Linked DNA regions of Canis lupus familiaris. The protein of the gene in region 1 purifies or fractionates together with the protein of each later gene. This does not show direct contact. Links are inferred from orthologs where the notes say so. Each region holds a gene or a part of one and is shown on either strand. Other genes may lie near its edges.

The links.
Region 2: the proteins of CCNH (region 1) and ERCC2 purify together in Homo sapiens (affinity purification with mass spectrometry; 3 studies listed by BioGRID and IntAct, counting the BioPlex papers as one, with this or other methods). This does not show direct contact. The link is inferred for Canis lupus familiaris from reciprocal best matches to the Homo sapiens genes CCNH and ERCC2.

What each region holds. Positions count from the first base shown.
Region 1 is NC_049224.1:21,182,010-21,188,525, reverse strand, and holds part of CCNH (cyclin-H), read right to left. Parts: intron 5,267-6,516; coding exon 5,144-5,266; intron 4,049-5,143; coding exon 3,975-4,048; intron 2,945-3,974; coding exon 2,734-2,944; intron 1-2,733. UniProt on the Homo sapiens protein: Regulates CDK7, the catalytic subunit of the CDK-activating kinase (CAK) enzymatic complex. CAK activates the cyclin-associated kinases CDK1, CDK2, CDK4 and CDK6 by threonine phosphorylation.
Region 2 is NC_049222.1:110,894,314-110,899,718, reverse strand, and holds part of ERCC2 (general transcription and DNA repair factor IIH helicase subunit XPD), read right to left. Parts: intron 4,791-5,405; coding exon 4,672-4,790; intron 2,073-4,671; coding exon 2,003-2,072; intron 1,919-2,002; coding exon 1,849-1,918; intron 1,750-1,848; coding exon 1,648-1,749; intron 525-1,647; coding exon 461-524; intron 1-460. UniProt on the Homo sapiens protein: ATP-dependent 5'-3' DNA helicase. Component of the general transcription and DNA repair factor IIH (TFIIH) core complex, not absolutely essential for minimal transcription in vitro.

The sequences.
Region 1 (6,516 bases):
CCTACTTACCAATGTCCACGGATCCTCATTTCCCTCCAGAATTCCCTGCCTCAATATGCTGCCAATATATTTCAGACAGAGCCTTAACAACGGCTGAATCCAAGCAATCTTCTGCTTTGTAACTATATCCACATTTCTTGGTGCTGCAATAGAAAATAGTACCACCAAGAGGTCTGATACTATTATTATAAATTCAAGTTCACTGACCTCAGGAGGACTTTCAACACTGCCTAGCTATGATAATATCCCATAGAAAAGTTCTCCCATTTTTCAGTAACTGGGTGTTCAACATTTTCCACCTGTCTCAACGTCTCTGGTAGTTTTCAGAAATTCCACCACTCTCTGTAAATGATCTCTGCCTTAAACAAAGACACACTATTTTCTGTCAGCCTCAATCCCCAGGGGTAATGCTGTCCTCAACCCATGCTTTCCTCTTTCTCTCTGTTCTAAGAGCTATTATTCTCTCAAGGCCAATTCTTCTATTTTGCTTTGAATCTCATGCCAATCCCTTATACCTTACTCCAAAGAGAAAGCTGAACTTATTTTTTACTTCTTCCTTTAAGCTCTCTCTCACTACTAGCTCTCCACATCAGTTTCTTCCACAAAGCAAAACAAAAGCCATCTCTCTCATCTCTTTCTAGGAGTTCCTCTATCTTCTCACTCATCTTTTTCCACTTCAAAGACAAGCTGTTTAATCCATGTCATAAATACCTGTTTTCTCACCTTCTATGTATTCCCCAACTGGCTCCAATCTGCTTTCTTCCTCCATGCTCTATGAAGACAAATGTCACAAAAATCGCAAATGACCCTTCCGGCACTCCACCCAGCAAACATTATCCCTTTTGCTTTTACTTTGCCTGAATTCTGAACAGGTTAGAGAGTGACCTGTGTTCATCTTCTAAAAGTACTCTACTTCTCTTCACTTCTCCAGAAAGTCCTATCTCTTTGGATATTTTCAGTCTCCTTACTAGCATCTTCTATTCCTCCAACTATTCTATATTTATTTATGAAAATAACTTATTTTTAGAGAGAGCAAGCAAGGGAGCAAGCATGAGAGCAGGGGGGTGGGGGGGGGGAGGGCGGAGGGAGAGAATCTCCAGGAGACACTGTGCTCCCAGAGCACGTGGGGCTCAATCTTATGACCGAGCCAAAACCAAGAGTTGGGTACTTAACCAATGAGCCACCCAGGCACCCTTCTCTAACTACCCTTTAAATGGTCCTTTTGGCCAACCCAGTTTAAGTTTTCCAGAAGTAACAACACCCAATAGCTTAGCCATCATCTCTCACTTCCAGACACTCATAATGTCTTGGAGGAATTGGAAATTTATTATGTCCCAAACCAGATTCATCAAACCCCACCCCTCCACTATCAATAAATCTCTTCTATGCCAGCGTTTTCTGTATCCGGAATTGAACCACCATCCACCTATATTCTTAGGCCAGAAACCTGGGGGTTCCTCCTCTGTTCTCAATCCCTACAGGAAGTAAATCCTCAAGCTCTAGTGGTTGACTAGTATCTCCTAAGTCCAGGAAGTTCTCTCTATATGCACAGCCACTGGATGAGTCAAGCCAACCACCATCTTTTGCTTGGACTACTCATAATAGCATCTTACTGGTATCCTTTCATCCATTCTAATCCATTCTCCATATTATGTCTGACGCATACATACGTGCAATAAATAGCTGATGCAGACTGATTCAAGAGCTTCCAAACAAAATTTTTAAAACTGCAAACCTAATTATGCCACTGCTCAGACTTCAGCCTTACAGTGGTCTCCCACTGCTCTATTCAAAATCCTTAATATCCCCTCCACAGTCTAGACTCTACCTTCCACCCAGATAGCACTCTGTGGCAGTCTTTTCCCCTCTATCTCTACGCTGTTTAGGTTCTTGCACCACAGTTTCTTGAATCTGGACCTTTGACCAAAGAAATCTAATTGGTGTATTATTCTACTGCCTAATTCCTACTCTTGCTCTGATTTTCACTCTAAATGACCCTTTCTCACGACAACCCATCTCATTCTAAAGTATCCTGTATCTTTCTTTCTGTAACACTTAGCACACTGAATATATGATTATCTTTCCCATTAGACTGTAAGACCTAGGAGAGTTGAGGCTGTTCCTGTCTTAATCCTCAAGCACAATGTTTTGGCATATGGTACACATACCCAAATTTTGCTACTCAACTGAGATGAATGAACCAGTTTTTGACTTCCATTTTGACCTCACTCACACTATCCAAGTCCCCTTTCAGGACCCAAACAAAACAAGTTATTTTTGTCAGGGTTCATTTACTTACGTTTTTGATGCCTACACATGCACTAAAAATAAAAATCACTTAGCAATCTTCTAGTTAAAATTAAGAATTTTTGTGGTTCTTTAAATCAGATCCATGGCAGTATACTTCAGAGTTAGAAAAGTTAACTTAAGTCTTCAAAACCATTACTCTAAACTGATAATAGTCCTCATTACAGTTCCTGGACCAATATGCAGATCCACTAAATGAGCAGCTCTGGTACTGTAGCCCAACAGTACGGTTAACAAGCCTTCCAGGTGGCACCGAAGTTTGAGAACTATAACATTAGAGATCCAAGCTAAACTCACATGTTAGAGCAACTCATGTTGTTACAATTAGGAATATTACAAGTTATAATAAAATTTTGATTTTTCTGGTTACAGAACTATAGCAAAGGTATACACTCTACTAGTTTACTTTTTATATCGACAGGATACCTTTAAATCAATGAGAAAGCCCTCAAATGGTCTATAAGGATTGTGGACAATAAGGTGGAAATTAAGTTGCTGTATAAGAAGCAGTTCATATTCCAAAATCTGTTCAAGTGCCTTCTCTTGTCCAAGAGGACTCTCCCTCAAATTTCCAACGAACTGTGGACTAGATACGTTGAATTCATCAACTTTGCAGGCCAAAAATGCACAAGTAAGCCTAGAGGAAAAAAAACCAAAGGGATAGGATGGGATCTGTACATACTTTGAGAAATATCTGAGTATTTTATTGCTAAAATAAATTCCAAAAATGCCTAATATTAACAGGTGACGATGCTAGACATTACAGGAAATTTTTTTTTTTAAAGAATTTTCTCTTTCAACTTTTTATCCATTAGAAGACTATAATTAGGTTGAACTGTATAATCTTGCCATAGCATTCAACCATAATTGACTTAATGGCAATTTCATAAAGTTCAACATAAATATCTGGAAAAATAACTGAAAAATAAGAGTACACTGGATCATGAAATGTAGATAGAAGAACACAGCAGTATACACAGATATACCTGGGAAGGAAGCAAGGTAAGAAAGGTGGGAAGAAAGGTAGGAAGAAAGGAACACCACCAGTGAAGACTCTGAAGGCATTTCAAAAGATTACCACCTCAGTAACAAACTTGGGAACTCTCATGGCTACTACCATAAATATCAAGTAAGAATCTAGTAATAAAATTACCATAAAAATCAAGATTGAAAGCAACAAGGGCCTGGCCTAGACTGATAGAAAAGGAAATGAAAAAGAGAGAAAATAAATAAGGAGAATGTGATTGATAGCAAGCTCTTTGATGAGTCTCATACTAGATTTATCTTTATTTTTAATGGACTTTTGTTCAATTGATATGAATCCGGAGCTATAAGACTTTTAAACCCACTGATACAGAAGGAGAAGAGGTACCACAAATGATTCTCAGCGGAAGCAACAAAGAGAAGAAAGGTGCTACCAACAGAAAGGGGTATTAGGGAAAGTTAGTATAAGAAAAACGGACTTTGAACAAGTTGAAGTTCAGATGCCATAAGTACTATAGGGAGGGAAGTATTACAGATATATAGGATATAGGAGTAAAAGGACAGTATAAATTCATAACAGGAAGCAAGTCTAAATTACCCTTTATTAGAAAGTCATTTCTTTTTTTCCCCACACAAATAAAGATTTTCTTAAATGAAAATCAATAAATTAGAATTATACTCACATTATTATCCGGGGGTGATATTCCATTACTGAGTTATTAAGATAAAAACGCTTGAAATACATACAAGCTGTACCCTATGATTAAAAATACATACATTATCAAAATCTATTCACACATCCATGTTAAATTTTGTATAAAATTCTTTTAAACTTACATATGCAAAAGTTTCTTTGAAAAAGTTTCTGATACAAATATAAAACTTAATCTTCTTTAATCAAATAAATTGTGATGAATTATTACAGCAATGTCACAGCCAAAAGACCTTTTCTTGTCCTTCCCCACCCACCCTGGTTACCCTTCCTATGGTCACTGAGTTAATTTTAAAAAGTCTATGTGTGTTTATTTTAGACTTCAGAATAACAAAAGCCAACTAGATTAGGAAAAAATGAAGGAGAAACATACAAATATTCACAGCTTAACCAATCTCGTGAAAACATGGACAGAATTAATACAGTTGGGGCAATAAGCCCTCTCTGTAAATCCACTTTGGCTCTGTGTGGTAGAACTATGCTCGTATTGCCAAATTAAATAGTAGAAGCAGCACCTACCATTTATTAACTGTATCCCATGGGCCAGATTCTGTGCCAAGCACCAAGCTATCATCTTTTTCTATCCTTACAACAGCTTGGTGAAGTATTGCTATCTCCACAGAGAAGGAAACTGCCTATCAGTGAGATTAACTGGGTCACACATCTAATAAGGAACACAGAGGGATTCAACTAAGATCTGCCTGTATTTTTAACTACTCTGTCATTTCACTAGAACCAATGAAATAGATACTTATCTATTTTTGGATTGAAAGAAAAGTTTCATGTGGGCACCTGGGTGGCTCAGTGGTCAAGCATCTACCTTTGGCTCAGGGAGGGTGTGATCCCAGGATCCTGGGAGTCTCCCATCAGGCTCCCTGCAGGGAGCCTACTTCTCCCTCTGCCTATGTCTCTGCCTTTCTGTGTCTCTCATGAATAAGTCTTTTTTTTTTTTTTTTTAAAGAAAAAGAAATGATACAGAATTCCTAAGTTAATGAATTTATCAAAAAATACATGAAATGACAAAAACATGAATACGTACATTTGCCTAAAGTGGGCAGAGAACTGTGTTACACATTTAGAAAAGTTCTGATTTCAGAAGTCAGCTAAAGGACATTACACTTTATCACTATTGTAACTTACCACAACAGACCTTGGCATTGCTGGCTTAAACACTGAACAGAATTCTAATAATCTCTTCTCATAGTATTTGCAGAGTATCATTTCTTCATGAGGTTCAAGAAAGACTGGATCATTTGGAAGAACCTTTAGATCAAAAGTTACAAATAAAAATTTAAAAAAAATTAAAAAAAAAAAAAAAAGGGATCCCTGGGTGGCGCAGCGGTTTGGCGCCTGCCTTTGGCCCAGGGCGCGATCCTGGAGACCCGGGATCGAATCCCACATCGGGCTCCCGGTGCATGGAGCCTGCTTCTCCCTCTGCCTGTGTCTCTGCCTCTCTCTCTCTCTGTGACTATCATAAATAAATAAAAATTTTAAAAAAAATTAAAAAAAAAAAAAAGTTACAGCAGAAGTTCAATGAAATGAATAATCTTAAAATACTTTTCTCAGTCCAGACTGCATTTGTATCTCCAACCAAAGGGAAATATACCAGATGTCATTTTTCTCTTTAGAGAACTAAATTATTACACGAAGTAATATTAGTGAAATATCTGATAAACTAAAAATGATCCTATTGTATCACAGTTTCTCAGAATGTCAGCTGGGCATTTACTTCAGTAGGGTAAAAAGAATCATGACAGAGGGTGTGCATCTGCTCACAAGTTTGATGTCAATCATAAATCAAAAAGATGATACAAGGTTGGGGGGGGGGAGGGGGGCCTCAGCGGTTTAGCGCCGCCTTTGGCCCAGGGCCTGATCCTGGAGTCCCTGGATGGAGTCCCGCGTTGGGCTTCCTGCATGAAGCCTGCTTCTCCCTCTGCCTGTGTCTCTGCCTCTCTCTCTCCAGTCTCTCATGAATAAATAAATAAAATCTTAAAAAAAAAAAGATACATACTGTCATTGGTTGGGAAGGTTTCAACATCCCTTTCTCAGTCATTAAGTCACATAGGCTGAGGTAAAAATCAACAAGTGTCTCAAGGATGATTATGACCCTTAAAAAAATAGTACCTCCAACCCCCTCCCCCCAAATAGTACCTCCTGTCTTTATAAACTCTCCACAAAATACCTAGATGGTTCATAAAACAATTTTAAAACAATTATATACTAGGCAGTGTTACTGGATTAATTATGTTTACCAAAAAAAGGGGGGGGGGGGTATGTTGAAGTCTTAACCTCCGGGATCTGAGTGTGACCTTATCTGGAAACAGAATCTCTACAAATGTGACTAGTTAATATGAGGTCATACTGGAGGACGGTGGCTCCTAATTCTATACGACTGGTGTCCCTATAACAACAATGTGGGAAGATACAGAGAGAACACTTTGTAAAGACAGAGATAGAAGCAAGGAACAGGGCAGCCCTGGTGGCCCAGCGGTTTAGCGCCACCTTCAGCCCAG
Region 2 (5,405 bases), on another chromosome or scaffold:
GAGCTTTCCTAACTAATGCCCTGTCTTGAACTTGGAGTTCCTAGAAATCCCAGAGGCCACCAGTAGGGCTGTTCACATACTTTCCACTTCTCTTTCTGGCCTGAGAGAACTGCACCACCCCACCCCACCCCCCGCCCCTGAAGTTAGGCGTGGCCATGTGACTCGACCTAGCCAATGAAATGCATGAAGTGGCTATGTGTCACTTCCAGGTAAACCCTCGTGAGGCCCAGCACCATTACCAGGATCCTTGCCGTCACAATTTAGGGGACGTGGTAAGGGTTCCTGGAGTGAGAAACCACGGGGCAGGCCCCCACCAGTCCACAGTGTCACATACTGTGAGCAAAAAGTAACCTCTGTGTCAAGCCACTGTAATTTGGGGATGTTTGTTACTGCAGCATGACTTAGCCCACTGATACACCTCCCCTCTCAGGAGCCACACAAACCACCATGAGCAGCATACCAATATCTTCCCGGGTCTCAAATTTAGAGCTAATGGCCACCTGGTCATTGCCACGACCAATGATCTGCAGAGAGCAACAGACGTCACAATAAGCAAACGATAAGCAAACAGCACCATTCTGATGCGTTAGCTGCCTGCCGGTGCCAGGCTGAGCTTTTTATAGACACAATGTCATTGAGTGAACCCTCAGCTCCCCTGTTATCTGCACTGCACGGATGGATGACCTCAGGCCCAGATGTGAGCTGCCTGCCTGCCCAAGGTCACGTGGCAAATCAAGGGCAGAGCCGACACTGAACCCAAGTCTGTCTGTGTTGCTAACCAGCAAATATGTGTTACTGGCCTCAGCCTCCCAGCCACACAGTTCCAGAAGAAAGGGTTCCACCACAACCTCACCAACCGCCAGCCACAGGTGCACCTCCCCTTCCCCCCCTCCCCCCCCCCAGCAACTCCACAAAACCATGATGCAGAATGTGGCCGTCACCAGTCCACAACCCCTGAAGGGCAATTCCAAGACCCAAGGAACTCCAGATATTTAAGTTTGGTGCAAACTCCTATAGTGGCAAAATCTGCCCTGACCTGAGTCTATTCAGAGTCCTGACTTACCTCCCTTAGTTTGACGTTTCAAAACATGTTCCTGCTGAAATAAAACTTTCACTGGAGGGAGCTGCCCAGACCCCACTGGGGATGTCACATACTGTACAGCATGTGGTTTGTCTTTAAAATCTGGAAAATTCTCAATTCTAAAATACATCTGGCCCAAGGGATTCAGATAAGGAATTAAGGGCTCATGTTACGATGCCTGTTTTACAAAGGAGGCTGAGGCAGAGAAGGGTCATCATCAAGGTCATGACCAGATGATGAACCAGGCAAAGCCCACATTAACCAAGATGCTGACTGAGGGCCGACTGGTGCCAGGCTCTGGGCCACATAAGCATCTTGTATCCACTATCTCACTATCACCTCAACCGCCCTGGGAGGTCAGGGAGGATGCATCCCCATGTTACAGGTTAGAAACTGAGGCTTGGGGAGTCAGACCCACAGGAAGCAGTAGCATCAAGCCCAGATCTATCTGAATCAAAGCCTATGCCCTCAGGCTAATACTCTCCTGCCTGAGCAGCCTGAGAGGGAACAGGAGGACGAGAGCTGACACATCTCCCCTGGCCCAGCATCCACCCTCTCCCACGCACCATAGGGCAGAGGCAGACCCGGGCCAGCGTCATGGTGAAGGTTGCCATGGTGACGGGGTGGAAGTCCAGAATCTTGGGGTAGATGTCCAGTGGGGACAGCGTCTATAGCAGGGACAGCAGGAGGGATCTTAGCAGGACCGGGCAGAAACCAGGATCCCCATAGTAGAGGACTGGGAGTTTAGGGCAGATAAGGGTCCTCACCCCAGATGTGATGATGACAGACTGGAAACGCTCAAACACGGGTTTGATGGCCAGTGAAGCATCCATGCAGCTATAGGAAGCAGAGGAGGGTGGTGAGGACCATGCTTGGGCCCCCGTGGTCTGTTGACAGCCTCACACTGCGGTTGGGTCTCACCTGAAGTGCAGGATGGGGTTGGCAATGGTGGGGGTCCTGTCATCAAAGGGCTCGATGATGATGGTGAAACCTACAACCGGGTGAGATTCCAGGTCACCGGTCATAGCCAAGCCCACTTGTCTATTACCTCCTCCCCCCATTAGTGATTGGGGCCAACCACCAGTTGCTCAAGCTTAAAACCCAGTCTTTGGGAGTCCAAAGTACACCCCAACCTGCCCGCTTCTCCCAGGGCTGACATCCACTCAGGGAGCATCATGAGCAGAGAGCACTAAAGGTTTACTCCTCAGACACTCTCAAGGCTCTAAGAACCCACACCACCACTCAAGCCAAAGCCTGGAGCCTTCCATGATCATGGTATCTAAGCCATGGGTCAAGCTCTGCCTCCAAAGCCTATCTGCAATCTGACCACTGCCCCCACTCCCTCCCCCACTATCACCTCTAGCCTGGACCATTGCAGTCACCTCACTGGGCATCCAGCTCTTGCTGCCCCTGCTCCCCTCCCAGAAGCAGAGGGACCCTGTAAAATTCTGATTCAGGTCACATCCCTGCCCTGCTCAGAAGCCCTGCACAGCTCCCCATACTCCTTCCGGAGTCCAAAATTATCTGCGAGAACCCGCCACGCTGACCCATTTTCTCCTAGCTCACAGGCCTCCTAAGTTTCAAAAACCACCAGGCTCACTCCACCCCAGGGCCTTTGTACTTGCTGGCCTCACAGCCTGAAAAGCTTCCCAAGGCAGCTGGTTCCATTTGGTCATTTGGAACTCAGCTCAAATGTCAGCACCTCAGGGCTTCCCTGGCCATCCTGGCCACTGCAGGCATGCTCCAACATGGCAACATTTTTCTTGTGAAAAAGTATCCCTTTCTGGAATTATCTTTTTTATTTGAGTCTTTGTTACTTGTCTTCTCCTCTACAGTGTAACTGCCAGGAGATCAGGAATGGGGTCCCTCTTGGTTTCTGCCACTTCCTCAGTGCTGGGCAGGACCCATTTGTTGAAAAAAAAAAAAACCAAAAACACAGGTGGGGATGCCTGGGTGGCTCAGCGGTTGAGCATCTGCCTTCGGCTCAGGTCTTGATCCTGGGGTCTCAGGATCCAGTCCCACACTGGGCTCCTTACAGGGAGCCTGCTTCTCTCCCTGCCGCTCTCTCTCATGAATAAATACAAATAAAATTTTTCTTAAAAATAGGCAAATGAGGGATCCCTGGGTGGCGCAGCGGTTTGGCGCCTGCCTTTGGCCCAGGGCGCGATCCTGGAGACCCGGGATCGAATCCCACGTCAGGCTCCCGGTGCATGGAGCCTGCTTCTCCCTCTGCCTGTGTCTCTGCCTCTCTCTCTCTCACTGTGTGCCTATCATGAATAAATAAAAATTTAAAAAAAAAATAGGCAAATGAATGAATTCACATATTCAATTTTACTTAATTAAAAAAAAAAAAAAAGTTGGGATGCTTGAGTGGCTCAGTGACTGAGCGTCGGCCCTTGGCTCAGGGTGTGATCCTGGAGTTCCGGGATCGAGTCCCACATCGGGCTCCTCACAGGGAGCCTGCTTCTCCCTCTGCCTGTGTCTCTGCCTCTCTCTGTCTCTCATGAATAAATAAATAAAATCTTAAAAAAAAAAATCCTCTGTGCCTGGCCCTGTACTGGGGACACAGTGGGAACCATGACATCTCTGGCCCTGCCCTCTCAGGGCTCATAGTCCTGTCCCCAGAGAGTGACCACTCAGAGTAGACAGAGCTGGAACAGGAGAGCCAAGAGGAAGAGACACACCCTGGGGGGTCAGGGAGGACCTCCTGGAGAAGGGAACATTTTTAACAAGCCAAGAACTGAAGGATGAGTAGGAGGTAGTTGGGGGCTAAGGAATATCGGGATAGACATTCCAGGCAGAAGAATGTGAGGTGTTGGTGGACAGGGAAGTGGGCAGAAGAGGAGAAAGCCAGCCCCAGAAGGAAGAAGGGGAAGGACAGGGGGATGGACACGGAAGGAAGCTTCTAGTGGGACTTGCTGCTGATGGATGCTGATTTGGGGGACAGCCTCTCTATCCTCTAGGCTGGGTACAGGGTATCAGGAAGCCTGACCTGGTTTCCAGGATAGAGTAGTAATCCCCAGGGATCAGACTGAGCCCTCAGCCAGTTTAATGCTAAGGAAGGGGAGGTAGTGCTGACCAGTAAAGTCTCTGGTCCCCTCTCCCTGGCACCTGAGTGCTATACTCAGCTCCTTGTCCCCTCCCTGCCATGCCTTCCTGCCCCCCCAATCCTAGGTACCAGGTCCCACATCTCTCTCCAGCCCCTCTCATCCTCCCATCCTGCCTCAGGTCCCTGCCTCTGCTCTTCCCTTGCTTGGAATCTTCCATGGCTTCCCACTTCCCAGAAGTAGAAGGGCCAACTCCTTACCACCATACCCTACAGTGTAAGTGACCCCACAGAGCTTCTCTGGCCTCGTCCCCCATCCTACTCCATTCTGCAGCCAGAGGGAGCCTCTGAAAATATACATCTGAGCACAAGGCTTCACTAGCTCAAGGACTATCTGTGGAACCTCACTGTACTCGAAACAAAACCCAAACTCCTGAGCCCAGCCCTACAAGGTCCTGAAGGTCCCAGTCCCAACCCCCTGGACTCTGCTGGGATCCTGATTCCAGCTGCCAGGGGGCCTGGCAGAGGCAGGAGATGAGCTTACCCTTGGCATAGGTGCTGACGAGGGTGGCGAAGTTAGCGAGGAGGGTGAGGGGAGAGAAGTCCGCAAGATCGGCAATCTCCAGGGTGTGCAAGAGGGAGCGGAGGCGTTCGGCACAGAATCTGGGGCGGAAGCCATGTGGGGTCAGGTCAGTCCCTCTCTACCCACTGTCAGCGCGCGGCCACACACGCCTCCCCAGGTGACTGGGTGCTCCATGAGGAGAGACTGGAGCCGTTTCAGTCACCAGTGTCTCCTCACCGTACAGCTGCATGTCCTACAGAGCCACGGCCAGATGATGGTGTATACAGAGCAGTGACCATACATCGAGTCACATGGAAACATGTCCCATGTGGTCACACAATCTCACGCAGGCTCTTGGTTCAAAGAGGAGACCCAGAGCTACACCCAGAATCCCAGTCACAACCCGAACCTGCATGGCCACACATACACTCACACCCAGGACCCCTCCCACTGCATCAGTCACACTCGGCCACCCTGGTGACACATACATTCAGAGAACCACACATTCACAGGGTACAATCCCACACACCCTTCATGGACACACACACACAAGGTCACCCAGTCACAAACACCGACAGTCAGGCTTGAGGCTGTCACCCTTCAAGGAGGGCAGGTCCTAGAACAGGAGCGCCTGGTTTCAGAGCCAGGCAGACGGTCAGAGTTTTAGAACCAGACTCCGGACATCACTGCTTCAAGTCCATCTTCTCTGTGCCCAC